Sus scrofa: one gene and its partners. The protein of the gene in region 2 binds, or shares a complex with, the protein of the main gene of each other region. Links are inferred from orthologs where the notes say so. Each region holds a gene or a part of one and is shown on either strand. Other genes may lie near its edges. The genes, in order: LRWD1, ORC2, ORC4, ORC3 and ORC5.

Region 1 (6,182 bases), on a different chromosome or scaffold from region 2:
GAAGCATTGTTCCTCCCACAGTCTGAGCTGACCTGGGCAGCCAGGGAGAGAGCCCCAAGGCGCCAGGCTGCAGGGTGAGGGTGTGGGGAGAGGTCTTACTGAACAGGTGGGTCTCGTGGGTGGGGCTGAAGCAGAGGGTGGCAATGGCCTTCTTGTGGGCGCGGATGACCCCGCAGCAGAAGCCGGCACGCACGTGCAGCAGCCGGACCAGGCCCCGCAGGCCTGCAGCTGCCAGCACGCTCCAGCGCTTCTTGTGGCCTGCCTGTGTGACCACCGTCAAGGCCGTCCAGGCCACCGAGAAGAACTCCTGGGGCGGGGCGGGACGCGGAGCAGTCAGCAAGGGGCAGAGCTACCAGTGTGCACACGCGCGCCAAGGCAGCCTGGGGCACCGCAGCCCCGCATCAAAGGAAAATGTTACCTGGTGAGTAGGTGGCAAGTCCGGCCCCTGACCCCAGCACTCCTGCCCCCAGAGCCGGGGCTTGCCCACCGCCCCGCAGGAGCAGGGCCCTGGCGCTCACCTCGCCGGGCGACTTGTACTTGTGCAGCACAATGCCCGTCTGGCAGTCGATCACACACACAGCCTCCCCGCCACACGTGGCCACCGTCTGGGATGTGGCCCCTGCGTGCCCTGTTGGGAGGGGTCGGCCTGGTGAAAACGTCCCCTATGAAGTCTCCGCTGCAGCTCCCTCCTCTGACCTTGCCGACACCTTTTAAGCTCTGTCCCTCCCGATTCCTCCATCCACCCGGGCAGCTCCCTTTGGGGGGCACTCCCAGACGCCTCGCCCTGCCTGCCCACCAAGGCTGTACCCTCGTCCCAGGCCGGCTCGAAGGCGCAAGCCCAGAGCTGGGTCTCCAGGTCCCGGGGGCTGTTGTTCTTGCTGTGGCACTGCAGGAAGTGCAGGGGCTCCAGCTGTGGGGGCAGAGGGGGGTCACGGCTGCCCCGGCCCTTGCTCCCGCCACACGCCCCGACACCTTGCTAGCTCACCTGGCTGCCATCAGAGCCCACCGGGCTGCCCTCTGCCTGGGCCAGTGGAGAGGTGAGCTCCCGCTTGCTGGGAGAGAGGCTGAGTGGGATGTCACTTGGCCGTTTCAAGGCCACTGGCCTGGCCTGTGGAGGTGGTGGGGGAAGCTGAGGCCGTGGTGACCTCACACCCATCTTCCCGGGGCTTCCTCCCCACCACAGGCTGGACTGCACCCCCACCCAGCCACCCGTGAGCACGGGAGGCAAAGGGTATCAGGGTCAGAGAGAACCATCTGGATGCATCTCCTGCCCCACCCCCACCCGGCCCCCCGGCCCCCGGCTTCCCAAATGCCTTTCTAGGCAGGAAGGAAGCACACTCACCCTGGGCTCCCGGGTAGCTCTGGTTTTGGGGGGCCTCTCTGGGATGTCTGCCTCATGTACGTGGGTCCCACCAGAAGCCACCAGCTCCTCAGAGATCATCCGCACCTGTGGGCCAGGCCACTAGGAAGCCGGGCAGACCCTCCCCAGGCACCAGGCAGAGGGTGCTTCCTGAGTTGGGGAAGGGTCTTTCTGGTGAGCAGGGCTGCCCTCCCTGACCCGCCCCCCCCCCCCACATCCCCTAGAGGCCAGAGACATCCAAGGCGGCTCAGGCCGTGGGAGCCAAGGAGGAGCTGGGAGAAGCGACTCCCAGCACAGAGGGGTGAGGACATACCCGCCACTGCGTGAAGTCACTGAGGGACTCGGGCCCGTAGCGGACGTCCCTGACGGCAGACCTCACAAAGTCCGCCTGAGCCTTCTCCGTCTCCTCCTCTGGGCTCAGCGCGGCCATAAACTTCTCCCAGTGAGCTGTGACCTGGCACGAGAGGGGCCAGATTCAAGCCCGGCACACCGCAGCCATCCTGGACCCTTTGTGGCACCTCTGCCTCCAATCCCATGGCCAGAAGTGTCTCAACCTCACCACCTCCGGGGCGCCTCCCCAAACCACAGCCTCCTCAGCTGCATGCTGCACAAACCCCAGCAACACACATGGAGAAACAGCCCCAGAAGGGAGGAGCTGGCGAGTCACCATGAAAGCATCCCAGCCCCCACTGCTGGGACTGTACATGTGGGGAGCAGACCTCCACAGACAAGACGCCAAGCACCACTGTCAGGCTCAGGACCGCTCAGCTGCCCCCCATACCCCACCCTCAGTGTCCTCCAAACATTCACTTCCATCACTGGCTCCTCAAGGCCCCCAACGACTCCCAAGCACCAGAGACACCTTCCCGCCCCTTACCCTGCTGGTCAGCTCCCGGTTCAGGTTCTCCACCTGAGAGCAAGTGGAGGAAGCATCCTTGCCATTGACCTTGCGGAGCTTGGGCAGGAGGAAGGAGACTTTCAGGTTGTCACTGACCTGGGGGGTGAGGGAAGAGGAGCTTGTGGTTGCCTCAGCCTGTGGCTGAGCCCAAGCCCATAGAGTGCTGGCCCTGGGCATGGAGCCGCCGGGGGCCCACACTTACTGTCAGGAAAGGATTGCCCTCCAGGCTGAGCTCCTCGAGCTGTGGGAACTGGCACAGGGCAGTGACGTCGCCCAGCTGGTTGTTGGCGCAGCGGAGGATGCGCAGGTGGGACAGGCCCAGGTTGGCGGGCAGTGTCTCCAGCTGGTTGTTGGAGAGGTCCAGCTCTTGCAGCTGCTTCAGGCGGCTCAGGAGCTTGGGGTCCAGATGCTCTGAGAGCAGTTTCAGCCCTGACAGGCTGGGGGGAAGGGCAGAGAGGACGGGCTTAGGGGGTGTGCGGGCCTCCCACCTGCACCCATGGCAACCCAGGCACTTCACAAGGCTTTTCTGCCTGACATTTTCCCGCGTTTTCCCAACATCCCCCCACCTTTAGCTTAGAACTTCTTTAGAACCTGGAGCAGCTGGCCCCCTCCAGGATTCTTTTCCTGATCCTCTGGGGGCGGGGAGGGGGGAGGTGTCTCTGCTTTCCAGGTCCTCTGTAGTTATCTCAACAGGTTGCTCCCTATTCCTTATGCAAGATTTTCTCCCCAGCAGCCCAGGCCCACCAGACCCGTCTCATAGCGAGAAGACGGCGTTTGGGCCGAATGATTAAAGACTCTGTGGAACCGACAGGGTGATAACGAGGCCGGACAGGGAGAGAGGAAAGATCCCAGGTTTTCTTCCCAATCGCCCGGCGACCCAGGCCCGGCGGTAGGCTGTGTAGCCCCAGCCCTTACTCTAGGCTCCGGATCTTCCCCAGCCGGTCGCTCTTGGGTCTCCCCCGCTGGATGAGCAGACGCACCGAAAGGGGGCCCATGGCGGGGAGGCGCGGCTCGCGGTGGCCCGAACGGCGGCACGGGACTCCGGTGCTGGCGCCAGCGGTTTGCCGAGTCCAGGAGGTGGCGCCGCGCGAATCCGTCGCCGGCGACGACCGGAAGGAAGCGGCCCCGCGGGCCTCATGTCCCGCCCGCGGACTACAACTCCCGGCGGCCCCCGCGGCCCTGCGCCTGCGCTCTGGCTGCCAGGACGCGGCGATGGCGGCTGCGGCGGTGGCGGCCCCCGAGGTCCTTCGGGAATGCGGCTGCAAGGGCATCCGGACCTGTCTGATCTGCGAGCGGCAACGCGGAGGTGACCCGCCCTGGCAGCACTCCCCGCAGGTGAGGGCTGGGAGAGAAGGGCCGCGCCCACAACTCCATTCTTCATCCGGGAATCAGACCGGTCAGCGGTCCTACCGAGGGGGGCGTAGCGGGGTGAGGAGATGACGGCTTTGAGGAGTGAGCTGGGAGTGGCGAAGGGCCTGGGACGTGGGTAAGGTTCGACAGCAGCTCACCCCGAACTTGTGTGGAGTCTGACAGCAAACATAGCGCCCCCGTGTCTGGGGCGGGAAGCTTTAGGGTCCGGTGACGAGACCCACGAAGAGAGTAGATGGGGCCGAAAACCGGGGCAGAGGGCCTCGGATGGAAGTGGGCAAGGAGGAAATTCATTCCAATGAACTCATAAAAAAAGGGACCCTGGGCCACGGAGGGCGGCAGGGGCGTTCCAGCTGGGGAACTGCTTGGGCCGAGGCCTGGGGAAGGTGGGTGATGCTTCAGGTGAGGGAGGCCGGTGGGCCTGACCACAGAAGGCAGGCTGGACTTGCCCTGAGGGCCATGGCGAGCTCTTGAGGGTTTTAAAGGGAGTTACATGTGAATTTTAGAGAGGTCCCGGGAAGGGGAGGAATGGATGGGAAGGAAAGGAGACTGGGAAGCCAGTGAAGCAACTGCCACAGGCTTGAAAAAGCTTGAAAGTTCCTGTGGAAAATAGTGGCAGTTCCTCAGAAAAATTAAAGTAGAGCTGCCATATGACCCAGCAGTCCCCCTTCTGGGTATGTCCCAAAAGAATTGAAAGCAGAGTCTTGAAGAGCTACATAGCAGTTACAGTAGCTGAAAGGTGGAAGCAACCCAGGTATCCAGGGACAGATGAAAGGATGAATAAAACGTGGTCCATCCATGCCATGGAATATCATTCAGCCTTGAAAAGGACAGAAGGGAATCCAGGCACTTGCTACAACAAAGACGAACCCTGAGAACATTAGGCAAAGTGAAATAAGCCAGTCACAAAAAGGCAAATACTGCATGTTTCCACTTACATGAAGTCCCTAGGGTAGTCACATTCACCCAGACAGAAAGTAGAATGATGGGAGTTCCCATTGTGGCTTAGCAGATTAAGAACCCGACCAGTATCCATGAGGATTGTGGGTTTGATTCCTGGCCTCACTCAGTAGGTTAAGAATCTGGAGTTGCCACGAGGCGCAGCTTAGGTCACATATGCGGCTTGGATCCAGTGTTGCTGTGTGGCTGTGGTGTAGTCTGGCAGCTGCAGCTCCGATTTGACCCCTAGCCTATGAACTTTCATATGCTGGCGGTGCAGCCCTAAAAAGAAAGAAAAAGAAAGTAGAATGATTGGTACCAGCAATTGGGGGGGAAGAGCAAGAGGAGGTGTAATTTAAAGGGTAGACTTTCGGTTTTGCAAGATGAAAAATTTATGGAGGTTGGTTGCACAATAGTGTGATATATTTTATACACTGAAGTGTGCATTTAAAATATGGTTTAGGGAATTCCTATTGTGGCGCAGTGGAAACGAATCCAAACAGGAACCACGAAGTTATGGGTTGGATCCCTGGCCTCGCTCAGTGGGTTAAGGATCCAGTGTTGTTTGAACTGGTGTAGGTCGCAGATGCGGCTCAGATCTGGCATGGCTGTGACTGTGGCTGGCAGGTGTAGCTCTGATTCAATCCCTGGCCTGGGAACCTCCATATGCCACGAGTTTGGCCCTAAAAAGGCAAAAAAAGGAGAGGAAAAAAAAAAAGGTTTTTCAGGAGTTCTCTTATGGCACATCAGTTAAGGACCCGGCCTGGTCACTGCAGCAGCTTAGGTCAGCTGCTGTGGTGCAGGTTCATTCCCTGGCCTGGGAACTCACACACGATCACTCCTTACTTTCCATGTGTCACATGTGGGGTGCCAAGAGACAGTGGACAGGGTGGCTCAGAGATAGCGTGAGGTGCTGATGATGCCTGTGGAGCATAAAGGAAGAGGAAGCAGAATTCACTGGGCAGGGAGCACCCCAGACATCCATGTAGATCCGACAGAGTCTTGACCAGCCTACTGGAAGCTCCAGAGCAAAGATGCCTGGTAGGCAGTCCTGTGTTGAGCAGAAACAGCCAGGCCTGGGTTACTGGCTGGAGGCCTGGGACGGAGGTGGCTTCTGCTCAAAATCAGAGGCTGATCCCAAAGGCTCTGCTGGAGAAGGTTGTCAGCGCAGCACTCCTCCAGGGAGGCTGGCAAATTCTGCTCTTTCTGAGAGAAAATTGAGCCACAGGTGCTGCCATAGTGTAGGGCAGGACCCAGAGACACCCCTGCTGTGGCCGGAAAGGGCTTCTCCCTTTGGCCTCCCAGCCTGTGCTGCTCACCCCGAACAGCCCTGGGGCCTCAACTTTTTTTTTTTTTTTTTTTTTTTTTTTTTTGTCTTTTGTCGTTGTTGTTGTTGCTATTTCTTGGGCCGCTCCCGCGGCATATGGAGGTTCCCAGGCTAGGGGTCTAATCGGAGCTGTAGCCACCGGCCTACACCAGAGCCACAGCAACGCGGGATCCGAGCCGCGTCTGCAATCTACACCACAGCTCACGGCAACGCCGGATCGTTAACCCACTGAGCAAGGGCAGGGACCGAACCCGCAACCTCATGGTTCCTAGTCGGATTCGTTAACCACT
Region 2 (5,593 bases):
AGGGGTCTGGCAATGCCGTGAGCTCTGGTGTAGGCTGGTGGCTACAGCTCTGATTAGACCCCTAGCCTGGGAACCTCCATATGCCGAGGGAGTGGCCCTAGAAAAGGCAAAAGGACAACAACAACAACAAAAAATATTATAACTTAAAACATTAAGAAAATTGGAGTTCCCGTTGTGGCTCAGCAGGTTAAGAACTTGACCAGTATCCATGAGGATGCAGGTTTGATCCCTGGCCTCGCTCAGTGGGTTAAGGATCTGGCGTTGCTGTGAGCTGTGGTGTAGGTCACAGACGCCGCTCGGATCTGGCATTCCTGTGGCTGTGGTGTAGGCTGGCAGCTGCAGCTCTGATTCGACCCCTAGCCTGGGAACTTCCATATGCCATGAGTGCAGACCTAAAAAAGTAAAAAAAAAAAAATTAAGAAAATTAATTTTGTAAGACTGATATCTCAGGAACGAAAAATAGTCATATTTTAACTTACTGAGAGGAGCATTGAGGTGGTCGATGGATGCTATAAGATATATGTTACGTAAAGATGATAACTGTCCAATAATTTGCTGGCTTTTGTCTCCTCTCAACATTTGGCTATCCAAATTGTGGATAAGAAGGAAGAGTTCTAAGGAAGAATCTAAAAGGAAAAATAGTTCAATTATTATTTTCAGTGAGTACAGTGAGTACTTGTGCCATGTATTAAAGAACATATCAAAATAGTATAGGACAAAATAACTGTTGCTTAGGGGTGTGCAATTTATTTGAGAAGATATATCGGTCACTCAAAATAGGCAAGACATTATTAAAGGCTTAACTGAAAGAAATTCACCGGAAATCAGTAAGGACTGGAGCAGTAAGAGACTTGACGGGAAGGACTTGAAGCAGACCATGAAGAAAGCAGTTTTAGTAAGGCACAGGAAATAAAGCGAGATGCACACTGGGCTGGATATGAATTTGTGCATGTTGAATTGCAAGGTGGGAGTGGAGGGGGAACATCTTCCCCCAGAAAGAGTTCTTCTCATTAAGTATTAAGAGCGACTATAGCAAACTCTTATTATCACAATGTCCAAGGGACAAAAAAAAGAGAGAGGAAGAGGCTTAGGATATTGCTCAAGGCATCAGAAGGTCAGAGAAGCAAAACACCATAAAAGTCAGTGAAGGAAGAGTTTGGATGATGATGTCAACATCATCAAATACTAGAGAGATCAAGATAAACACAGGATGAGGCAAGTCAGTTTGTTTAGAAAGGAGGAAATTACAGGTGATCCTCAAGCACACACTTCGGGTAGCATAGAAACAAGAAGGAAATAAGTAAAAAGTTGGAGTTGAAGGCAGGACATGTCTTCAAAAACTCATATGATTGATATAGGGAAATAAAATAGTATGGAAGAGCAGCAAAATCACGTAAATATTTTTTAAGATGGAAGAAGCTCTATGCATGTTTTAAAACCCATTGGTTGGAGTTCCCGTCGTAGTTCAGTGGTTAGCGAATCCGACTAGGAACCATGAGGTTGCAGGTTTGATCCCTGGCCTTGCTCAGTGGGTTGAGGATCCGGCGTTGCCGTGAGCTGTGGTGTAGGTTGCAGACGTGGCTCGGATCCCGCGTTGCTGTAGCTCTGGTGTAGGCCAGCAGCTACAGCTCTGATCTGACCCCTAGCCTGGGAACCTCCATATGCCGCAGGAGTGGCCCAAGAAACAGCAAAAAGACAAGAAAGAAAAAAAAGAAAGAAAGAAATGGGACATTGTCATTTATGGTGGAAGATGAGCCTTTTAGAATAAGTTAATGTCTCTTCCATTGCAGATAGAGAAGAGAGACGATATAGTGACAAAGATTCTGAGACAACACATTCTAAAAGTTGAAGATTACTTAAATTCTAAAAGTCACCATAATCGGTATTTAAATTATACGTAAACAAATATAATTACTATATATGTAATATAAATTATAATTTATATAATTCACATTGATGTAATCCACAATTATATAACATTTATATAAATATATTTTATATGTTATAGATTATATAATAAATATATTTATTATAATACTGTATACAATACCTATTACATATATATGAAATGATTCAGGTACCTATTTTAATGACTGTACAAACAATATTGAAATTATCCATCAAATTGTTAAGCATAACCAATTTCTCCATTTAATTCTTTTTTTTTTTTTTTTTTTGGTCTTTTTGTCTTTTTAGGACCGCATATGGAGGTTCCTAGGCTAGGGGTTGAATCTGAGCTGTAGCTGCTGGCCTACACCTGAGCCACAGCAACACCAGATCTGAGCTATGACTGTAACCTACACTAGCTCATGGCAATGCTGAATCCTTAACCCACTGAGTGAGGCCAGGGATCAAACCCACAACCTCATGGTTCCTAATCAGATTCGTTTCCACTGTGCCACGATGGGAACTCCACTCCATTTAATTCTTAAGTTTTAACTAAATGACAATAGCTGGACCCTAATTTTATTTCTCATTTGGTTATATGAAACACTCATGTAACCAAAATATTCACACCAAAAGAACAATAAATGTTTTTTTCCCAGATTTTCCCAGATTTTAGTATATGAACTCATTCAAATGCATTGATATTTACTCAGGATAAAGAAATAAGAATGCTTTATAAACATATTAAATAATGTAAAAATATCAGACAAACATGTACCAATTAACTGGAGCACTTCACACTGCCCAAATAAAAGTGAAAATTATTCTGAAATAGGAGACTTTGGCTATATAAATTCAAGGTAAATAATTCTTTCCTGTTAGGTAATGGAAGTTTGCAGAAAAAGTTCATAGAAAAAGAAGGGACAAATTATTTTAAAGAAATCTAAACCATCACTGAGAGAAGTGTCATTATTAAAATAACCCTCATTTTTGTGTATATTAGTACATAAATAAATACAAGTATATGATTGGCTTTACCCTAAAACTAGAGCATCAGAGTTACTGCTGTGGTGCAGTAGCTGACTGCAGCAGGTCGGGTTGCTGCAACGGCACTGGTTTGATCCCTAGCCCAGTGCAGTGAGTTAAGGATCTGACACTGGGGTAGGTCACAGCTGTGGCTTGGATTCCATCCCTGGCCTGGGAACTTCCACATGGCACAGGTATGGCCAAAAAAATCCGAACGCCCGCCCCCTCACCAAAAAACGAGAGCCTCTACGTCACATTACCTTCTTTAAATTTGTTTATTATCCAGTCTAGCTGATCCAGCACGCTGCGGAAAGTACCCATATGATCAAGGACTTCTTCTGTTATAGAATTCAGGATCTATGTCATAAAAGGGCAAGAGGTGCATCTATTATCACTTATTCTGTCATGTAGGACAACTATAACTAGCAAATTAATCCTTTTATAAATTAAAAACGAACTTGGATTTCCCTCAAAGTCTAAAAAATCATTTCAAACATTCTCCCAGTACTTGTCTAATTTTTTTTTTTTTTGGTATAAGTATGGCTAAAAGGAAACAGGGGATAACAGCAGAAGTGTAAAGATAATATAAGCAGGCAGTAAAAACAAAAGAAAACAAAAAGACCTCAACGATATAAGAAATATTAGAAAACTATAGATTTATCAAAGAAAAGAGGACACAGACACTGCGGATACCTTTAAAAAGGAGTATTACATTGGTTATATATCCAGCACGTAAAAAGTTTAATTTTCAAATGATGAAGAGATAGGAGCGTTTGGAATAAAAATGATGGAAGAACTATAAACTATTAAGTATATTTTCATATTTTTAGAGTACCAAAGTGACAGAGAAGCAGGATAAAACTGAAGTCCCCCATAATCCTGTCCTTCAGAGAAGTACTGTGGGTATTCAGTGTAGTAAACAAAGTTAACATTTCCTTAGGAATGAATGCATTTTCAGGTACCGAATAGGAAATTTAAGGATGGGGATTCAAGGCTCCAGCCCTCTGATTCAAACACATGATGTAAGGCACGACGCAATCTTACTAGTGTGAAAACAAAAAACAAAAATCGAATGCTCCAGAACTTGAAAGAGGATCGTCGTTAACTTGGGGGGATGGACGGGCAGGGGGTATGATGTTCCTTTTAGCATTTTTAAAACTTACTGATTTCACACTGATTCCAGGAAAGAAGCCATTGATGACAACATGAATGCAATCTTGCAGCATTGCGGTTCGAAATCTCTCTAGTAAATCTCTCTTAGAGCCCAAACCGTAAAGCACAATGTTGAACCCTAAGCTGTAAGAAAGAGAGCATTCATGAGATTAAACTTCAATACTTTTTTTTTGGCTGCGCCTGCAGCATACAGAAGTTCCTGGGCCTAGGGACCGAACCCCTGCCACAGCAGTGACCCCAGCCATAGCAGTGACAATGTCGGATCCTTAACCACTAGGCCACCAAGGAACTCCTAAACTTTGGTACCACTAGATGACAACTTGATAATTAACCAGTTTCCTTAATCTAAGCTTGTAAAAAATACAGGAAGAACTGGCATGGCTAAGTAACTGTACTGATTCCCAACTTACATAAAGCAAAAGCACATTTTTTTTTTTTTTTCCCTTTGGTCTTTTCTAGGGCTGCTCCCATGGCATATGGAGCGTCCCAGGCTGGTGGTCTAATTGGAGCTGTAGCCACAGCCAACTCGGGATCCAAGCTGCATCTGCAACCTACACCACAGCTCACGGCAACACGGGATCCTTAACCTACTGAGCAAGGCCAGGGTTCAAACCCGCAATCTCATGGTTCCTAGTCAGATTCGTTAATCACTGAGCCACAACGGGAACTCCACAATTTTATCCATACCCAAGATGATAGTTCCAGCTTTCAGTAGCTTTCTCTCCAGCTCCCATTACCTCTCAAGTGATACATGCCTGGAGGCAAGGGAGAACAAGGGAGGTACAAGGCACTACAGAGTTTCACAGGCTGAAGGGGAGTTTTAATAGGTGGGTTAAGTTGGGAATGTAAGCAGGGGCCAGGTCACAAAGGTCTTGTTAAGTTAACTAAGACAGTCATTGGATTTTATTCTATGGGATATGAGCATTTAAAAGTAAGAAGTCAAAGGGGGAGGGATAAATTAGGAGTTTGAGCTTAACATATACATACTACTATGTGTATAATAGGTAACTAACAAGGACCTACGTTACAGCACAGGGAAATCTATTCAGTACGCTGTAATAACCTGTATGGGGAAAGAATCTGAGACAGAATGGATATATGTATGCGCATAACTGATTCACTTTGCTGTACACCTGAAACTAACCCAACATTTTAAGTCACCTATATTCTAATAAAATTTAAAACAAAACAAAAAGTAGTCAGCTGTTAAGTGAAAGGTTTTAAGTAAGAAAGGAACATTTTATTTTTTTAAGAAAGATTACACTTGGAGTTCCTGTCATGGCTCAGCAGTAATGAATCCGACTAGTGCCCACGAGGCATGCAGGTTCAAGCCCTGGCCTCACTCAGTGGGTTAAGGATCTGGTGTTGCTGTGAGCTGTGGTGTAGGTCACAGATGCAGCTTGGATTCTGAGCTGCTGTGGCTGTGGCCAGCATCTACATTTCTGATTTGACTTCTAGCCTGGGAACTTCCATGTGCTGTGGGTGTGGCCCTAAAAAAAGCCAAAAA
Region 3 (6,167 bases), about 100 Mb from region 2:
TTATCAAGATTATTACTCTATAAACCTAAATTTGGATTTATCTTTCAATTAACATCTACAATGCATATACTAACTACAACATCATGATTTCTTCGACTCAGAAAACCATATTTTAGAAATTTTTCTCCTTTCACATATAGTGAGCAATTTGGTTCAGTACCCCCAAGAGATAAAAAACTCATCTCAATTTACAACAGTAAATAAATAATTCAGTTAAAACTGAAAGTGGTACCAATCCAGCAAACTATTGATGGAGAGGTTTGGCCTTCCATGAAGCCAGAACAACATAAAAGTTTTCAATGGGGATTACTTGTTCAGACAAGTTGCAAAGATTAGGAAAATACCCATATTATGAAATAGCGAATATTCTCATCTTATGTAAAATAAATATCAGGAACGTAGCTACAGAGAGACAATACCAGCGGCATTTAAACTTTAAGTATTTTGAGCTATGAACTTCATATGCTAATATATGAACAAACATTTAACAAAAAAAAGCAATAATACAAGCCAAAACCTAACCAAAGGCCTCTATCACCAAAAATTTGAAATTTTCTATGCAAGTCAGACAAAACGAATAAAGGAAAATTAAACCCAGAAAGCAAAAACCAATCAAGTCTGTTCCAACACTGAAGTCAACATCCAAATCACATACAGAACCAAAAAGGGGAAAACACTCAGGTCTACAAATGGATAAGCAGTTCCGATACAATCCAGATCCCGACATTTTCCCACACAGAAACAAATGCAGCAGAGCTTTTCCTAGGAAAAAAGGAAAAAAGCTCTCCAAATGATTTTTTAAAGTGACATCTAGAAAGTGTGCCTCTTTCTGTCTCTTTCCCTGGCGCCTCATTGGAGGAAGGAGGGGGTTGTTTTTGTATTCTCCCCCACTGGAGCCAAGACACAATCAGATGTTAGCTGGAGGAGAGAAACCACTTTTGACAACAGCAAATAAAAATAAAAAGTGCCCTTCCTCCTCTGACAGGATGGGCACCCACCTCACACACCCCTCCCCACTCCTACTCCTCCTTCACCACCCCCCAGCACCACCCCCTCCTCACCCGGGAGCTCCACTGCGTATGTGGTTTGGTGCTACTGTTGCCCCAGAGTTAAAGTCAGAGCCACAGGAAGGCAATGAAGCCCCCACAGACACACTTACCTTTCCTGCCCCCCACTTTTGAGTGCCTTCCCTGGAGCTGTGGAGGATGACACAAAGGGTAATAAAGAGGGGGGGAGTGGAGGAGGAGGAGGAGGCGAAGGAGGAGGAGAGCTGGGGAAGTGGCTGCTCCTGGGTGTAGTGAGATGTCTCCAGCCAGGGCCAAGCAGCAGTAGCAGCAGCAGCAGCAGCAGCAGCAGCAACAGCAGCAGCAACAGCAACAGCAGCAGCAGCAGCAGCAGAGAAGGGTCTGTGTTGCTAAGAGGCTTTTGGTCTCTTTCTCTCCTCTCACGGCCAAAGAGGAGGAGGATGGAGAGGGCTCGGGAGGGAGGCTAGTGGAGGGGTGAGGGGGTAGGAGTCGTGGATGGGGGGGTTTGGAAGAAGAAGAAACTCCTTCTCCTTCTTTCTCAGGCTCAATCCCCCTCTCAGGTCTCAGGGCTGGAGGGTGGGGGAAGGAACTCAGCCGCCTTCCCCCCACCCCCCTCAATTCAAGGTTGAAGTGGGGTAAAATTAGTGTCCTGTCCCTTTAAAAATAGAAATAAAAGGTGCCCCCCCTCTGCCACTGCCTCTCTCTTCATCATCAGCTGCTGCTGCTGCTGGGGTCTCTCTGCTTGGGGGGGAGGGGGGGTTCGGGTAGAAGAGACGGGAGGCACTCACTGCGCATGTCCCTCTCTGACGGGAGGCTGGTTGGTTGAAGGCAGGAGGAGGGGGAGGGGAGGAAATGTGAAGGTTTCCCAGAAGGCTCCGAGGCGATCGCGACCCGGAAGACATTGTAGCAGGGGGTAGAGGGGCGGGGGCGGGGAGTAGGAGGAAGTCGCTACTCTTTAACACCCCCAGCCCCCTCCTCCTTCCTAAGGGAAAGTGGAGGAACGGAAGTGGGCGTGGACCAAGGCAAAAGGAGGTCACGTGTTTGGGCGGGAGAGGGGAGTGGTGGGAAAGGCGGTCCCTGCGCGGGGCACGCTGGGAGTAGTGGTGTATAGCTGGCAGCCTCTGGGGAGGTAGAGCTGACTACGCGGCGAGAGGAGCTTGTGGATCCTTTTCCGCGGTCTCTAGAATACCGCTCTGCCCTCTTAAGGGCTGGCTTTTTCGTGAGAGGTAACATGGGGGTCGGCTGGCCTCAGAACGAAGGCCATGGGCGCCACTGGCTAAAGGCGAATCGAAAAGGGGAGGATGGAAGGCTTTGGAGACTGGGTATGCGGGAAGGGGGGCAGGCCTGTCTAGGCCAGGCAGGCCAGAAACTAGGCTGGCTTCTTCCATCTCATAGCCTTCCTGTGAGCCTGCGGGCGACGAATCCTTGAAGAGTTTAGGGAGTCCTGATGAGATTAAATCTATGGCAGGTGGAGACTACACCCAGTGGTGGTGAGGAATGTGATGGTCCAGGTGTAAGAGAAAAATTGGATCTCCGGAGCCTTCTGATGACTGTTTCAGCTCAAAGCAGGGGACCTGCCTAGCAAGGGAGACAAGCTGTGTGATTTTTGACAACTTATAGCATTAAATGCATTGCTTATGTTGGATGTTATGACCATCAATCCTTACTTCGCTATCCTTCTAGGAATTCTGGAGTGGCTTTGGGGAGGGAATAAGCTAGGATGTCTCGAGTGGAATTTCTCTCCCTGTCTTGCGTTGTTGCTGCACCACAACGCCTATGGTTGTTCTTAGAAAAGGATATGGGATTGTGTAATCCTTGATATTGTATGTTACCGTTGATAAGGAAGGTATATCATCAAAGTTCTCCCTTTCTGTAGTGTAGATGAGGGTTTTTAAAAATTATTTTAATGGGTTTTTATTTTAAATTACTTTGGTTACTAGCCTCGGATTTAGCCTTTGGTTTTTCAATTAAATGCAACTGGTTTTGCTGGAAATAATGCTTCCCTTATGTTAATTCAGAATATTTAAGAAAAGATTCATGGATTTTCATTAATAAAGGTATTTTTTTCAGTAAAATTGCACCGTTTCTTTTTCACATTCAGTTCATACAATCATAACTAAAACCATTCTAGTCTTTCAGTTAACTTCTTTTGAAGGTGCTTTGAAAGATTATCACTCATGTATAGTTTCTTTTAAGACCGGGAATCCAAAATTCCACATATTTATGTTGTGTTGGTATTATTTAATTCTGTGGTGTGTCCTTCAGCGTACTCTTAGTTAAAGTTACTACTTATTTTCTACGTTTTACTTCTATGTGTTTTGACAGTAGATCCTATTCATGCATCATTGACTGCTTTTACCACTTTCTGTGTGTGCAGTAATCTTGTCGAATGGAGTAAAAACTAGACACCTGTGCCTTAACATTTTGTTTATATTGAAACCAAATGTTTGCCACTTTAGAACAGAAAAAAATTATAGCAAATCAATAAAAGTGCCTTACGTAACAAGTTTTTAATTTTTTACGACAAAATAAAAATGTGCAAAAAAGTGTGCAAGTCGTAGATATGCAGTATAATGAATAATTATAACGTGCACACTTTGTAATCACTACCAAAGAGAGAAAACAATGCTCCGCCCTCCCCCCGCCAATCCATTCCTATTCTTTCCTCCCTCTTCAGTACTCCCAAAGATGGCTGGATTTTTATGGTAACAATTTCTTTTTTTTAAATGTAGTAATGATATTTTTATGGTAATGATTTCCTAATTTTATTTCAAGTGTTTTTAAACCACCTTTTCCGACATTCCTAAACAATACACGTTTTTTTCTATATGTAAATGAGTTATGTATAATTTTTCTCTTACTATGCAATATTTAATCCTGTTAGCTTTAGTTCATGTATTTTTATTGCTGTATAGTAATGTTTATAGTATAGTAAGTGTAGTGTAGTGAGTCCTATTGTGAATAAATCAAAATTTAACTAGTTCAGTATTACAGACATTTGGATTGTGTCCAGTTAAGTTGTCTGTGTTTTTACATAAAGACTTGAGCATTGTGGCAAATATCTTCTCTGTGCTTGTAGCATTTCTCACATCCTGAATAATAGCTTTATCTTCATTTCATTCTTACTGACTTATATACTGCTACTGTTATTTGAATTTTGGGGGGTAATTTTAACTCCAGGGAAAATGTCCTATACTTCTGCTATCTGGTACAGTAGCCACAAGCTATGGAACACTTGAAATATGGGTAGTATTACTGAGAAACTGTATTTTTAGTATTGTGTTAATTTAAATTTGAAAATCGATACTCGATTCAGTTGTCGGAAGATTCATTAAGTATGCTTGGAACAACCTGAGTATGTAAGTTTACTGTCTCAATTGTAAACTTTATAAAAATTAAGACCACATATTTCTGATGACAAATTAGCATCTGAGTTGTTCTGTGAATGTCAAATAAACCTCAGATTTCTAAGATTTAGTATGAGAACAGTGTAAAATTATTTTATTATGATTACTTGTTGAAATTATAATAAATTAATTTCACCTTATTTTACTTTTTTTAAATGTGAATACTAGAAAATATTAAGTTACATGTGTGAGTGGCCTTGTATTCTAGTTGGGCAGCATTGTTTTCTGCTATCAATGTTGAGTCGATATATTTACCATTTTGGGTGTTCTTCATCTCTTCTTGAATCTCTGAATTTTCTTTGGGAATCTTTTTCCTCCTGCCTGAGTATACACTCTTAAGAAATTAATTAATGTAGACATACTGATGGCCAAATTGCTTAATTTTTTTTGCTTACCTTACAATGTCTGTTTCACCTGCAATGTTGAAAAATGTTTTGGGGGTATTGTAGGATTGTGGTTGTTTATCAGCCCTGTTAAAGATGTTCCACTGTTTTATGGTGGGGGGCTGCCATTATTGATTTTGAGCAGTCAGCTGTCTAATTCTTGCTGCTTAGAAGAAATCTGCCTTTAAAAAAATATTTTCTTTGTCATAGATTTTCTGCTGTTTCTTCATGATGCTTTTGTATGGAATTCTTTTTCCCGTTTTGAACTCATTGGGATTCTTGAGTCTACGGATCCACATCTTTTTAGGAAATATATCACCTATGTCCACCCTAACTGTTTCTAGCTACTTGCTAAAAATTACAGTTGTGGCCTTTATTGACATAGTATTTGTAGTTAATTTGTTGTCTGTAGTGCAGAATTCCAGTTTCTTGATTTTTTTTTTTAATGGGTCATTTTCTGTGTTCGTGATTTTCTTTTTTTCTCCTAGTGTGCCTGTGTGATGGTTGTATTTGAAAAATGTTAGGAATACATGAGTCTTAGAATAAGGTCCTCCTCAAGAAGAAATTTTTTTTTTTTTAGGAAAATTGTTTAGGGATGCTACCATTTAAGTCACTTAGTTCATGTTCAAATCTTGGGATCCCTTCTGTTATATACATGATGTTAAGCAGGGCTTCTAATCACACAAGCTTTGTTTTGCTTTCCAGTTCTCCTTTTTCCTGATGATGCTGCCCTTAAGGTCTCAGAATTAGGTGATTGTTTCTTTGAGTGCACATGCTAGATAAGCTCTATGCCTTTGATTTTTTTTTTTTTTTTTTAAATTCCCAATAGCTCTGCAAAGTCACCAGTAACTTGGTCTTTCTTTTTATTTCTTAGTCTTTTATTCTGGATAGACGGAAAACCTCAGGAAGAAGGTACTGAGTGTGTATTTCTTCGTTTATTTTCTCCTAGATTTTGTCATGTAATATCAGATTGACTTATTTTTGTTTGATTTTTATTATTAAGCTTTCTTGTTGACTTTGCAGTTGGCTTGATTTGATCTGCCATTACCATAAATAGAACCCTTATTCTCTTTTTAATTTTAGAGATTTTTTTTTCTTCTAGCCAAAATTGTTTTAAATTGTCACACATTAGTTTAAAAATCATAAAATCACATCGATCTGTACAGTATAAGATGCCAAATTAATTAAAATTTAGAAAATATTTCCAGGCAGTTTGTATCTTTTTTTTTAACTTAACAGTTTCAAATGTAAAAACACATTCTTAAAGTATCAACTGCTTCTACATGAATTACTACTGAAAACAGCCCATAACTATTTATCATATCCTTTGGTTCTCCAGAGTATTGCCCATT
Region 4 (5,593 bases), on a different chromosome or scaffold from region 2:
CCAGTCTATGTTTTAAGAGTTCAGTGAGGTGAAGCACATTCATTTTCAAGTAACTTATTCTATTTATGGACATTTCTAATAGACACTAGGTCACCAAGCCATAATAGCTAAGATTTAGAAAACTTTTCTTAAAAATATGTAAGAGATATATTTAATGAACATCATTTAAAAATGTTACATTCTCTCCTGGCATTTTTTTTTTTTTTTTTTTTTTTTTTAATGCCACACTTGCAGCATATGGAAGTTCCCGGGCTAGGGGTTGAATCAGAGCTCCAGCTCTGGCCTACGCAACAGCCACAGTAACACCAGATCTGAGCTGCATCTGCAATCTACACCACAGCTCACCACAACACCAGATTCTTTAACCCCTGAGTGAGGCCAGGGATCAAACCCACATCCTCATGGATACTAGTTGGGTTCTTAATCCACTGACCACAGCAAGAACTCCTTTTCCGGCATTCTTAACTCAGACTTATTGAACATGATTCATTCTTAGCATAAGCAATATGAATATAAGTGACTTCCACAGAATAAAACAGCAACATTCCAAAAACTATTGTAGGTCAGAGCCCTCTGTTCTGTGGCTGACGATTTTGCTTGCTCCCTCCTATTAGCTACTGCTTTTCAGTATCCTAGACTTTTTTCTGCTCTCACAGTACTAAAGTACTCAGACTCTATTACTGGTACTTTAATCAGCTCAGTGTTAGCATTAAGAAAAGTCTTAGGATCTTGGAGTTGTGGCTCAGTGGTAACGAACCCGACTAGTATCCATTAGGATGTGGGTTCGACTCCTGGTCTTGCTCAGTGGGTTAAGGAGCCAGGATTGCCATGAGTGTGGTGAAGGTTGCAGACATGGCTTGGATCCCACGTTGCTGTGGCGTGGGCCAGCAGCTACAGTTCTGATTCGACCCCTAGCCTGGGAACTTCCATATGCTGCAAGGGTAGCCCTAAAAAAGAAAAAAAGAAAAGTCTTAGGATCTAGAAATCTCAGTTTCAAATGGAAAAATAAATACTATCAAAATAGGAATTATATTAGTAGATTATCACACAATACAGCTTTAGACAAATGTAGCCAAAACTATTAAGCAAATTAACATACAGAAGATGCCAAAATAAATTATACCCTAAAAAAATGTACCATGGGAAAAGCATTTCACTGGGTTTTTAAATAGGGTTAATTACTTCAATTTCAAGTCTCAGAAGACTGTCTTAAAGATCCAGTAAGATCATGAAAATAGTTTCTCATCAGAAATAATATAAGTTATTTAAAAAACATTATTGTTCAGTAGAGCTATATGTAATTCAAAGCTTCTAACAGTGGACAGGTATCAGAAAATAAGTCCTGACAAAAATATCTCAACCTAGAGTGGTTTACCCATTTAGTGGTCAAGTAAGAGACAGACATTCTTAGTCAGACATTCTTTTATACTGCCTTATCATAACTAAAAATTGGCTAACTTTTGTTTTTTGGTTCTCCTTTTTGGATCAAAAAGCAAATGAAAATCTGATAGGCGGTATTTAAATGTTCAATTTCATAAGAAATTTAAAATCATCCTGTTTCAATCCTTTAGTATTAAAATGAAGATAAAACTTTTATGTTCTCTGAAAACAGTTGCTTTTTAAGTTAAAAGCTGTATGTTTTCTTAATAAAAAGAATTTTGCTGATTTCCCGTTGTGGCTCAGCAGGTTACAAATTCTGACTAGGAACCATGAGGTTGTGGGTTGGATCCCTGGTCCTGTTCAATGGATTAAGGATCCGGTGTTGCCATGAGCTGTGGGATAGACCACAAATGTGGCTCGGATCTGATGTTGATATGCCTGTGGTGTAGGCCAGCAGCTATAGCTCTGATTCAACCCCTAGTCTGTGAACTTCCATATGCTGCGGGTGTGGCCCTTTAAAAAAAAAAAAAAAAAGAATTTTGCAAAAAAGTCAGAGATACACCATCTACCTGCTGATAATTATGAAGTCTTGGAGTACTTTTGTGGTGAAGCTTTCCATATCCTTTAAGATAAGCACAACAGGTGGAGACTGCCATTGGCTAGAAGCAGTCCTCTTTTTTCTTGGCATTTTTGGTTCTGTCTTCTTTTAAGCCATTGTAGAAAGAAGGAGTTAAAAGTAAGCTTTACCATCCAAACAATGCTATAATGCCACAAGCTGTTACAGCTCCCTTCATATTTCACAGCAACATTGTTTCTTTTATTTCTCCCACATAATAAACAGAAACTCATTCCAGCAGTTATTAGCAGAATCTTTCTGTGTCTGACATGGGAATAATAACCAAGAAGAAAAAGGTCCAGTAACATCTATAACTCATATGAAATATTTATATTTTCTGCTATCTGAGAAAATGACAGGAAAAGCATGGGGAGAAGAAAACATTTTCTATAAAATTGATTTTTCTTTTGGTAGAATATTATATTTTGCTTTGCTTTAGGGTGAGGCCAGTATTTTTAATTAAAAACCATAATGAATAACACTACTTGCTACTCTACTACTGTGAAATTTCAGGTTGAAAACATCTCAACTATCATCTGGTCCAATGCCAATTTTTAAAAATTTCTAACCTAAACTACAGGCAGCATTTCATATCTAGACAATCTGAAACTAAGGATCAAAGAAGACATTATGGTAAACATTAGACCCAGCTTAATCCTTATATACCTTACTTATGATGACTTCAAACAACCACATTTGGCAGAAAATGTTACCACAGTAACTTTTCCCCATACTATCTGGCTACACAGGAACATAAAGGAAGGTTGTGGCTTTATGGTGCAGTTACCCCATGAACCATTTAGGTTTTCGCTTTCACCAGTCTGTCACGGGAGAATGAAACTTCTATCTATATATCTTCTTGTCAAACATACTATACATACAGAACATTTACTCCTTCAAGAATTCTAAACATGGAACAAATTAGATATATTATCGATGTGTGTTTACACACACACACACACACACACACACACACACACACACTACTCTTCATCAAACTAAGTTGAAAATGAGTACTAAAAACAAGTTTCTATCCCATAAAAGTAAATGTTGAGGAATCTAAGAGATAGTATATTAAAGTTAAAGCCATTGTCACAGCGCTAGAAACATATTCCTGATGCTGCTTTGTCACTGGATGATTCTCCCACAAATAAACTGGCCTTGTATGAACCTAAAGATTTCCTAGGAATCAAGAATACTGATAAAAGAAAACTTCTGAATTCTAATAGCCTTAGGAAAAATAAGTAGCTACTGCTAAATTAACAACTGGTGCTACCAAAACATATCCTTATTAGAACAAAAAAGTACTATGGTTTTACTGTAATTCTAGACCTCTTCAATCATATGCCAATTTCCTGGTGGGAAAAAATGTCAATTTACATTTACCTGTGTGACATTCATGTACCAACTGGAAAGAGAATCCATGGAATAATGTGTCTTCTTCTGAGTGAACTGAACACTTTCTTTCTCTTTGGATGGCACATCTACATTGCAGTCCATCAATTGTGAGGTGAGCTTTTGCAAAAAATGCTTAATATCTGCAGAATATAAAATGTAAATAAATCATATCCCCTTAAAACAAATCTAAAACACCTGAAATTTCTTGATCAGTATATTAAACTATTTGGGTAGAATGTGTTTTTCTACAATTAACATTGACATAACATTTAACATACTAACTATTAAGGTTCATTAACATCCTCCCAATATTTAAATTTCATTAATTCAGACTAACACTAAAGTTTATGTCTATTGTCTATAAGAAAAGTATTACCTAAGCAAATGCATAAACCTGAAAACTATATATTATATTAGGAATAATATGTACTTATATAACACCGGACAGCAAAAGGTTTTGAAGGCTCGGGATTACTCTGTGAGGTACTGAACCTCATCCTGCCAAAAACTCAGTGTCATGCTCTTCCCACAAATAAAAAGGGATAAAGACAGCCAGAAAGAAGACGGAAGAGATGTGTAACATCTCATCAAGGTTATTAGAGCATTAATACTTCACCTGGACAATCTTTAGCTTGCAATGAGACTACATATGGAGTGACATTATTCTGAAGGGCTTCTGTTAGACTCCTGAATGTTAAGTCATGATCTGTTACATTCACACCTATGGGATAATAAATCAATATTATACCATCATTTTATCATTAATAATTTAATAACAAAAAAGCTATTTAACATGTCAAGTAAATTATGAAGTAAAAATATTTTTAAAACATGGTTAGTAACAAAAACTAAGAAAATATACCACAGAGATGAAGAGATCTCTATTAAAAGTAGACACGCAGAGGCACACACTAGCCAGGAAAGGTATTTAGCACAATTTTCCTTTCAAAAAACTACTGGGGACATATAGTTGAAGTAATTTAAAATTCACAGAGTTCTTTAAAACAGTCAATCAAAAATAAGGGCCTTACTGTGACCCTAACTTAACAACTGAGGAGAGGCCAATCATTAATACTATTAATGATCACAGTAATAAATACAAAAGGTGAAGTATATATTGAGTTGATTTTTGAGGGAAGAGTCTAAAAACTAATTAAAACTTTAGATCCTTTAAGTATTTACTGAATCCCTGGTTCTTTTTTTTGCTATTTCTTTGGGCCGCTCCTGTGGCATATGGAGGTTCCCAGGCTTGGGGTCGAATCGGAGCTGTAGCTGCCAGCCTACGCCAGAGCTATAGCAACGCAGGATCCGAGCCGCGTCTGCAACCTACACCACAGCTCACGGCAATGCCGGATCGTTAACCCACTGAGCAAGGGCAGGGACCGAACCTGCAACCTCATGGTTCCTAGTCGGATTCGTTAACCACTGCGCCACGACGGGAACTCCTGAATCCCTGGTTCTGATTTCCACAAACAGAGTTTTAGTGCTCTGCATGCAGTTACCAGAGTTGAGTGGAAACTTCCCTACTACTTTGGAAAAAAATTGTGATAACTGATGATTTCCCTAGCGTCACAATGTGTGAGTTCTAGGAAGTGCTTCGGTGCTTAGGCAGGGGCCAGCAGCTCACATCTTAAAACTGCTCTGAGACTTGCTACTATAAAACTTCAGCTGCTTGGAAGGAAAGAAAAAGGTTTCAGAATCACCCAGGCCACCACTAAGCAAATTTTTTTTTTTCTAGGAGACAAAAATGTTGACAGGGTATTTTTAAATGGACATATGCCTTTTTGAAAACAAAGATCCAACTGTGCTTAAGCATTCTTTTGAGTATAGATTCTTCTTTCTTATAGAATCAAAATGATATTCCTAGCATGCACTATGGTCTATGATTGTGATACGGTATCTCTGAACAAATTTGGGATTTTAGTAAAACACTGGCTTATCTTTCTTTACTGACTGACTTTATTAACTATTTAACGCTATGTTCCTTAAAACAATGGAACTGTCTATTGGAAACAAGATAATCAACAACGACTTTAACTGGAAAAATGTTCTCCTCCGACCACTGACTTTGAAACATATGATTTCAATTAGTTTCTTTTCTCCTTTTGGCAGTAGGTGGAGAACAGATTTAAACAGAGCTCTCACAACAATCAGGCCATCCCTCTTGATTGTGTTTCCCCTACTCCACCTCCAACTGCT
Region 5 (5,593 bases), on a different chromosome or scaffold from region 2:
CTTCCTCTGAAAAGTTAAGCAAAGAACCTCAGAGTTGGCTCTGCTGGTTTCGGTTGCTTAGAAACTGAAGGTTATGGTCAACTCTGTAGACTCCTAGCTACACTGCTGGCAAGGGTTATGAATGATTTTATTTGTTCGCCTTGTTGACCTTGTGGAGAGACCTGGATTTAGGTGGCCATCATTATCCTATGGGAAACTAGAAGTCCTTTAATTACATGTAAGAATCATTTTAAGACACATCCACATTTTTCTACCTTTAAAAGATCAGATCACAAGCTTTTCTACTGTGACTTCCAAAAATCCTCATCAAATAACTTTTTATCATTAAAAAGAGGAATAACAGTTATCTTTGTAATGTTTCTACTTACTCAGAAACTAAGTTCTTATAACAACCTAATTAAATCAAAGTAGTTACAGAATAAGGTATTCATGAAAGAAATATGATAACAAAATTGATTAGAAAGTGAGGAAAACTGGAGTTCCCGTCGTTGCTCAGTGGTTAACTAACCTGACTAGCATCTATGAGGACACAGGTTCGACCCCTGGCCTCACTCAGTGGGTCAAGGATCCTGCGTTGCCATGAGATGTGGTGTAGGCTGCAGACGTGGCTCGGATCCTGCGTTCCTGTGGCTCTGGCATAGGCTGGCAGCCACAGCTCCGACTGGACCCCTAGCCTGGGAACCTCCAAATGCAGTAGGTGTGGCCCTGAAAAAAGACAAAAAGACCAAAAAAAAAAAAAAAAAAAAAAGTGAGGAAAACAAAAGTACTGATATTTTTACATTTCCTATGTTGCTTTGTATTGCAGGCTTAACCTAACATCTATAAGGCACTTTATTATTCACAAATCATTTTCAAATATATTACTGAAATCATCTAAAGATTCTTAGAGGAGGTTTAGAAGTTTAAGGTAAATTGCTTAGACCACATAAGGCAGAAAATAGCTAAGATGGAAATCAAAACCATGTTCTCACTACACTATGTCTGTGCAACTGTCTCCTGAGTAGTTTCATTACTATGAAATTCTAATAATTGACAAATGTAGATTTATGACTTGATTTATACATTTAATAATTAATTTTTATTATACCAAAGAGCTAACATAAACATGAAAAACAAAGTTGAAACTGATTTTCCTGTAACTTTCCAGATTTAAAAAAATTAGCAACTATTAGAAATATTTCTTGTACAATGCACTGGCTGAAAATTATTTGTCCTTCTCAAAATGATAAGAAATGATTGAAACCAGTTTTTTCCCCATGTGAAGAAGGTAAAGAAACATGTATACTTTAGTGAATATCACAAATAAAAGATACAGAAATAATAAACATACTACTTAGAAAATTACCTTGATATTTCCCTGAGATAAACAGTCTGCATGGCTTTCTTCAAATGAGGTTCAATATTTCTCCAGAGTTTCCGTGTATCACGTTCACTTGCTACTCCAAAAGGGGAAAAATTTCAGTAATTTAGATCTTACAGAAATTTTCTTCAAAAGAAATACTATGATAGTAAAACTATAGTTACCTTCTCCTTTAACCACAGGTTCGCAATATTTAGGAAAATTAAGTATTGCCTATAAACGAAGGGAAAAAAAGAGAAGAAAGCATTTTATCACCATTAGAAATTATTTTTCAGGAGTTCCTGTCATGGCTCAGCAGTTAACGAATCTGACTAGGAACCATGAGGTTGCGGGTTTGATCCCTGGCCTAGCTCAGTGGGTTAAGGATCCGGCATTGCCGTGAGTTGGTGTGGGTCGCAGATGCAGTTCGGATCCCACGTTGCTGTGACTCTGGCGTAGGTCCACAGCTACAGCTCCGACTGGACCCCTAGCCTGGGAACCTTCATATGCTGCGGGTGCGGCCCTAGAAAAAGACAAAAAAAAAAAGGAAATTATTTTTCAAGTAAATTTTTATTAGATTTCAGGCAGTTTTACTTCAGAATAATTGCACAAGTAAAATTTAATTATAGCTTATTCCTACAACAATAAAACCACAGTTATCAACAATAATAAAACATGTAAAATATTCCTTAATTGGCTAAATTCTGCCTATGTATTAGCCTCTAGATATAAAATAGTGTAACAACGCATAATTTGTAATTTTAGGTCAGAATTATGTCACAAAGGACCGCAACACATACAGTAAAGTACCTCTAGCCCAAAGAATTAACCTGTTTTTTTTTCCAAAGTCTGACCATTCTCACAAATTAAATGTCATCTAGTTCAGTTCACCTCATATTATATGATTAAGAGCACCACCTATGATTGTTATAACTTCAAGTTCTTAGCATACCAGGCATACTAGATCAGAATCTCTGAGGATGAGATCCAGGAATCTTAGTTTTAAAAAAAAAAATCTCTCCAGGATTCTATGTATTCTAAAGTCAGAAAAACACTAACTAATCATAATTACTTAATAGTTTTCCACATCAAAATTCTACTGAATGTAGTTTAAGTAACTTTATAAAAACATGCTACTGCAATTTTTTAATATTAATTTGGTCACAAGTATGTCACAGTGAAATGATTCAATAATAAAAACCTAGAGGAAAGATTGTATATAAACGTGTAACTATAAAATCTCAAATTAGGAAGATAAGAGAACTAAGAACCAAATCCTTGGAACACTTTTTCATATTTTCTTTAATAAAAGGTAACTGTTTAAACCAGAAAAATCTTTCAAATTCTGCTAATATTAAGTAGAGAGAGACCAACTTTCCCAGATTTCAGATTTTTAGTTCTAGGTACTGATTAATAACGCTAAAATGTCACAATTTTAGCAATAACTGGTAAATAACGTGGCTGAATAAAAATATACTGCTTTCTTTCTTGGTAAAAACATTAAAATATATGTTTCGTCATATATGTTAGGCCAGCAGCTACAGCTCTGATTAGAACCCTAGCCTGGGACCTCCATACACAGTGGGTGCAGCCCTAAAAAGACAAACAAACAAACAAAAAAATCTAAAAAATCTAAAAAGAGACTATGTATCAAGTTACTTAGTGTTACTGGTAATATCACCTAACATCATTATATATATTTTTATTTACAAGCACTTAAACAGTATATTTCATTTTATACCCATAGAAATCATCCGGGGTATATATTCTTGGTCCCTCTTTAGAAATGAGGAAACTGAAGTACAGAAGATTAAGTATCATATTCGACATGACACAACTGGTAAGCAGCTGAGTTAAGGTATTTTAATATTAAGTCCTCTGCTCATTCTACCATATACACTGCAATTATTTGGCATCCCCTTCTTAGTCATTATGTCATAGTCACAGGACCAAATCAAAAACAGGCATCAGAAATTTGGAGCTATACCCTAAAAAATTACTAAGCTCTGGATGAGCAATTCATTTTTCTGAGTAATTTCTAAGAAAATTATGGTATTTGGAGGGAAAGTTTTAAAATACAGCAAATTTAATGTGATAGCTATTTTTTTTAAAAAAAAATCATGCTAAACTAAATTTTAGAAAATAAATTTTGGAATTCATATGAGTATAAAAATAACTTCTTCAACTGACCCTCCTAAAATTATAATTACTACTTCTTTAGGAGATCATAAGAATTGTCAGAGAAGACAAACCCAAATGACTAGTCACTGTAGTACTTTACCTCCTCTTGTCTCAAGCTACCAGAGTTAGCTTCCAAAAAAATATTTTAAAAAATACCAATTCCTAAAGCATATTTAAATTCAGACACAGAAAACAAGCCCCAAAAGAAACTTCTGTAGGTGATTTATTAAATTCTAAAGAAATAATGCCACTTACAAACTTCAAAACATTTGAAGGGAAAAGGAAAATGTATCTTTATTATCCTATGTTCTACATATGCAGAAAAATAAGAACATTATACTATTTTTTCCTTTAATGCTTAAAGATAATTTCTTCTATTTGTTAGTAGTAAAGTCTTAAACATATTTCAAGCTTCAAGTTTATGAATACAAGGTAACAATAACAATAAAAAAGCGGCAACCTCAGCCCTAAATAAAATCATTCCTCAGTGAAACCCAAAGGACTTTATAAAAACCCATTTAAATTTTATATTTTCTTTTCCTACAAACAGTTTCCCTAAATAATTCTTCCTTCCTGTATTTTATAATCTACTTTGAAATGGCTGCCAGCACAGATTCCCACAGGATTCAAGGACATCAGTGCTAAGGAGTAGTAACTGTAAGTTATTTCCCAGGAAGGACAGTGGATGAGAACTCACTCCCAGCTCCATTTCATCCAGGGACTATACAGTCCCTCTCTCCTCTGCCCCTCTGCTGTCACTTCCCTTAGGCACCAGGAATCCCAACATTTAACTTCCAAGGAGATGTTAATGATGAAACTGAACTAGAGCAGTGTCTTTTGTTCTTTCCCTACTCAGAAGTTGCTTGAAATCAACAGCTAAATCATAAGAGGCCTAAAATTTAAAACTTCCAAAAACAGGAGTTCCCGTCGTGGCGCAGTGGTTAACGAATCCAACTAGGAACCATGAGGTTGCGGGTTTGGTCCCTGCCCTTGCTCAGTGGGTTAAGGATCCGACGTTGCCGTGAGCTGTGGTGTAGGTTGCAGACGCGGCTCGGATCCCGCGTTGCTGTGGCTCTGGCATAGGCCAGTGGCTACAGCTCTGATTCGACCCCTAGCCTGGGAACCTCCATATGCCGCGGGAGTGGCCCAAAGAAATAGCAAAAAGACAAAAAAAAAACCAAAAACCAAAAAACAAAAAACTGCTTTCCACATCTCCTTTCTGTTAACCTTCATTATAATTTTAATGAAGTGCTGCATTTCTGCCATTAGAGAAAAGAGAGAAAAGAGAAAGGAAGACATTAAAAAAAAAAAAAAAAAACCACTCCCAAGGAAATATGAAAAGACACAACTAGGGGGAGGGAGTGGGAGGGATCGGGAGCTTGTGCTTATCAGATACAACCTAGAATAGATTTACAAGGAGATCCTGCTGAATAGCATTGAGAACTATGTCTAGATACTCATGTTGCAACAGAAGAAGGGTGGGGGAAAAAACTGTAATTGCAATGTATACATCTAAGGATAACCTGACCCCCTTGCTGTACAGTGGGAAAATAAAATTAAAAAAAAAAAAAAAAAAAAAAGACACAACTAAAGATTATTAAAACTTCCTGAATAGGTCAAAGTTTGTCCTAACCCACAGACTTCTACCTTCTCATGGTATACTGGCCTCAAAAGGCCATATCCAAATTTCGAGAATAAATTTTCAGCTTCTAGCCTATCTCACACCCTTTACATATGAAAAAATACTAAAAGATGTACGTTTTTTTCAAGTAAAATGAGCACTCACCAGATGTCGGAGCTCTTTCAAATCTCGGCAGACAGTGTAGAAAACTCCAAGAAGAATATTAATGTAGGCAGCATAGAAATCAGCAGAATATTCTGGAGGATGATCATGGGACAAGATCTTTTGAAGGTTCCCTGTTCACAGGACATAAATGAACAGAAATGATTGACATGGCACCTTAGTTACATTTTATAACAAAGATTTAAACAATAAATACACAGGCTCAACAATTATAAGGAATAATAAAACAGTTACAAGATTGGAATGGAAAAGTAATACAAGTTTTGAAA

Evidence for each region.
Region 1: the proteins of ORC2 (region 2) and LRWD1 are in contact, whole or in part, in a crystal structure (PDB 8SIU), measured with the Rattus norvegicus proteins. The link is inferred for Sus scrofa from reciprocal best matches to the Homo sapiens genes ORC2 and LRWD1. Residues at the interface, in NP_001012003.1 of Rattus norvegicus: Val11, Pro12, Ser13, Val14, Gln15, Phe16, Val17, Gly18, Asp19, Val22, Leu23, Ser24, His25, Ile26, Leu27, Asp28; in XP_038945348.1 of Rattus norvegicus: Pro262, Leu263, His264, Phe265, Leu266, Gln267, Cys268, Ser270, Asn273, Ser274, Pro275, Leu320, Val321, Leu322, His323, Lys324, Tyr325, Lys326, Leu367, Val369, Gly372, Phe373, Cys374, Pro596, Pro598, Val599, Ala600, Val605, Ile630.
Region 3: the proteins of ORC2 (region 2) and ORC4 are in contact, whole or in part, in a cryo-EM structure (PDB 7JPP), measured with the Homo sapiens proteins. The link is inferred for Sus scrofa from reciprocal best matches to the Homo sapiens genes ORC2 and ORC4. Residues at the interface, in NP_006181.1 of Homo sapiens: Asp501, Asp504, Tyr508, Ser512, Gln518, Glu522, Val554; in NP_001177808.1 of Homo sapiens: Lys168, Asn169, Arg195, Glu200, Leu201, Lys204, Arg205.
Region 4: the proteins of ORC2 (region 2) and ORC3 are in contact, whole or in part, in a cryo-EM structure (PDB 7JPO), measured with the Homo sapiens proteins. The link is inferred for Sus scrofa from reciprocal best matches to the Homo sapiens genes ORC2 and ORC3. Residues at the interface, in NP_006181.1 of Homo sapiens: Leu239, Glu242, Tyr243, Ala246, His247, Asp268, Arg273, Leu276, Val279, Ser280, Phe283, Glu286, Leu287, Leu290, Lys296, Leu297, His299, Lys300, Met302, Leu303, Gln304, His306, Leu307, Phe309, Tyr314, Gly315, Leu316, Arg320, Glu324, Arg327; in NP_036513.2 of Homo sapiens: Thr3, Ser4, Ser5, Met6, Ser7, Lys8, Gly9, Cys10, Phe11, Val12, Phe13, Lys14, Pro15, Arg20, Ile22, Ile26, Tyr29, Phe30, Lys32, Tyr47, Val111, Thr112, Lys139, Asp318, Lys326, Gln329, Leu330, Leu333, Tyr337, Glu589.
Region 5: the proteins of ORC2 (region 2) and ORC5 are in contact, whole or in part, in a cryo-EM structure (PDB 7JPO), measured with the Homo sapiens proteins. The link is inferred for Sus scrofa from reciprocal best matches to the Homo sapiens genes ORC2 and ORC5. Residues at the interface, in NP_006181.1 of Homo sapiens: Val240, Glu241, Tyr243, Phe244, Glu245, Ser248, Asp396, Gln398, Arg401, Gly402, Glu403, His426, Asn428, Ala429, Pro430, Leu431, Met432, Trp433, Asp434, His435, Gln438, Trp445; in NP_002544.1 of Homo sapiens: Asp324, Lys325, Phe328, Leu329, Leu359, Asp360, Arg361, Ala364, Tyr367, Ser368, Ala378, Asn379, Phe381, Ser382, Gln383, Thr385, Ser386, Thr389, Asp400, Gln401, Leu402, Asp403, Tyr407.

Annotation. Positions count from the first base shown.
Region 1 is NC_010445.4:9,803,478-9,809,659, reverse strand, and holds the start of LRWD1 (leucine-rich repeat and WD repeat-containing protein 1), read right to left. Parts: upstream 3,410-6,182; 5' UTR 3,254-3,409; coding exon 3,174-3,253; intron 2,696-3,173; coding exon 2,461-2,695; intron 2,355-2,460; coding exon 2,238-2,354; intron 1,815-2,237; coding exon 1,674-1,814; intron 1,448-1,673; coding exon 1,343-1,447; intron 1,109-1,342; coding exon 986-1,108; intron 911-985; coding exon 808-910; intron 629-807; coding exon 519-628; intron 308-518; coding exon 100-307; intron 1-99. Other genes in the region: ALKBH4 (alpha-ketoglutarate-dependent dioxygenase alkB homolog 4), read left to right, coding at 3,471-3,593. UniProt on the Homo sapiens protein: Required for G1/S transition. Recruits and stabilizes the origin recognition complex (ORC) onto chromatin during G1 to establish pre-replication complex (preRC) and to heterochromatic sites in post-replicated cells.
Region 2 is NC_010457.5:104,620,808-104,626,400, forward strand, and holds part of ORC2 (origin recognition complex subunit 2), read right to left. Parts: intron 4,210-5,593; coding exon 4,077-4,209; intron 3,271-4,076; coding exon 3,174-3,270; intron 627-3,173; coding exon 480-626; intron 1-479. UniProt on the Homo sapiens protein: Component of the origin recognition complex (ORC) that binds origins of replication. DNA-binding is ATP-dependent. The specific DNA sequences that define origins of replication have not been identified yet.
Region 3 is NC_010457.5:4,094,484-4,100,650, forward strand, and holds the start of ORC4 (origin recognition complex subunit 4), read left to right. Parts: upstream 1-2,055; 5' UTR 2,056-2,251; intron 2,252-5,689; exon of another isoform or gene 5,690-5,727; intron 5,728-6,167. UniProt on the Homo sapiens protein: Component of the origin recognition complex (ORC) that binds origins of replication. DNA-binding is ATP-dependent. The specific DNA sequences that define origins of replication have not been identified yet.
Region 4 is NC_010443.5:55,994,223-55,999,815, reverse strand, and holds part of ORC3 (origin recognition complex subunit 3), read right to left. Parts: intron 4,116-5,593; coding exon 4,011-4,115; intron 3,535-4,010; coding exon 3,383-3,534; intron 2,084-3,382; coding exon 1,950-2,083; intron 1-1,949. UniProt on the Homo sapiens protein: Component of the origin recognition complex (ORC) that binds origins of replication. DNA-binding is ATP-dependent. The specific DNA sequences that define origins of replication have not been identified yet.
Region 5 is NC_010451.4:104,134,357-104,139,949, forward strand, and holds part of ORC5 (origin recognition complex subunit 5), read right to left. Parts: intron 5,438-5,593; coding exon 5,307-5,437; intron 1,574-5,306; coding exon 1,525-1,573; intron 1,437-1,524; coding exon 1,346-1,436; intron 1-1,345. UniProt on the Homo sapiens protein: Component of the origin recognition complex (ORC) that binds origins of replication. DNA-binding is ATP-dependent. The specific DNA sequences that define origins of replication have not been identified yet.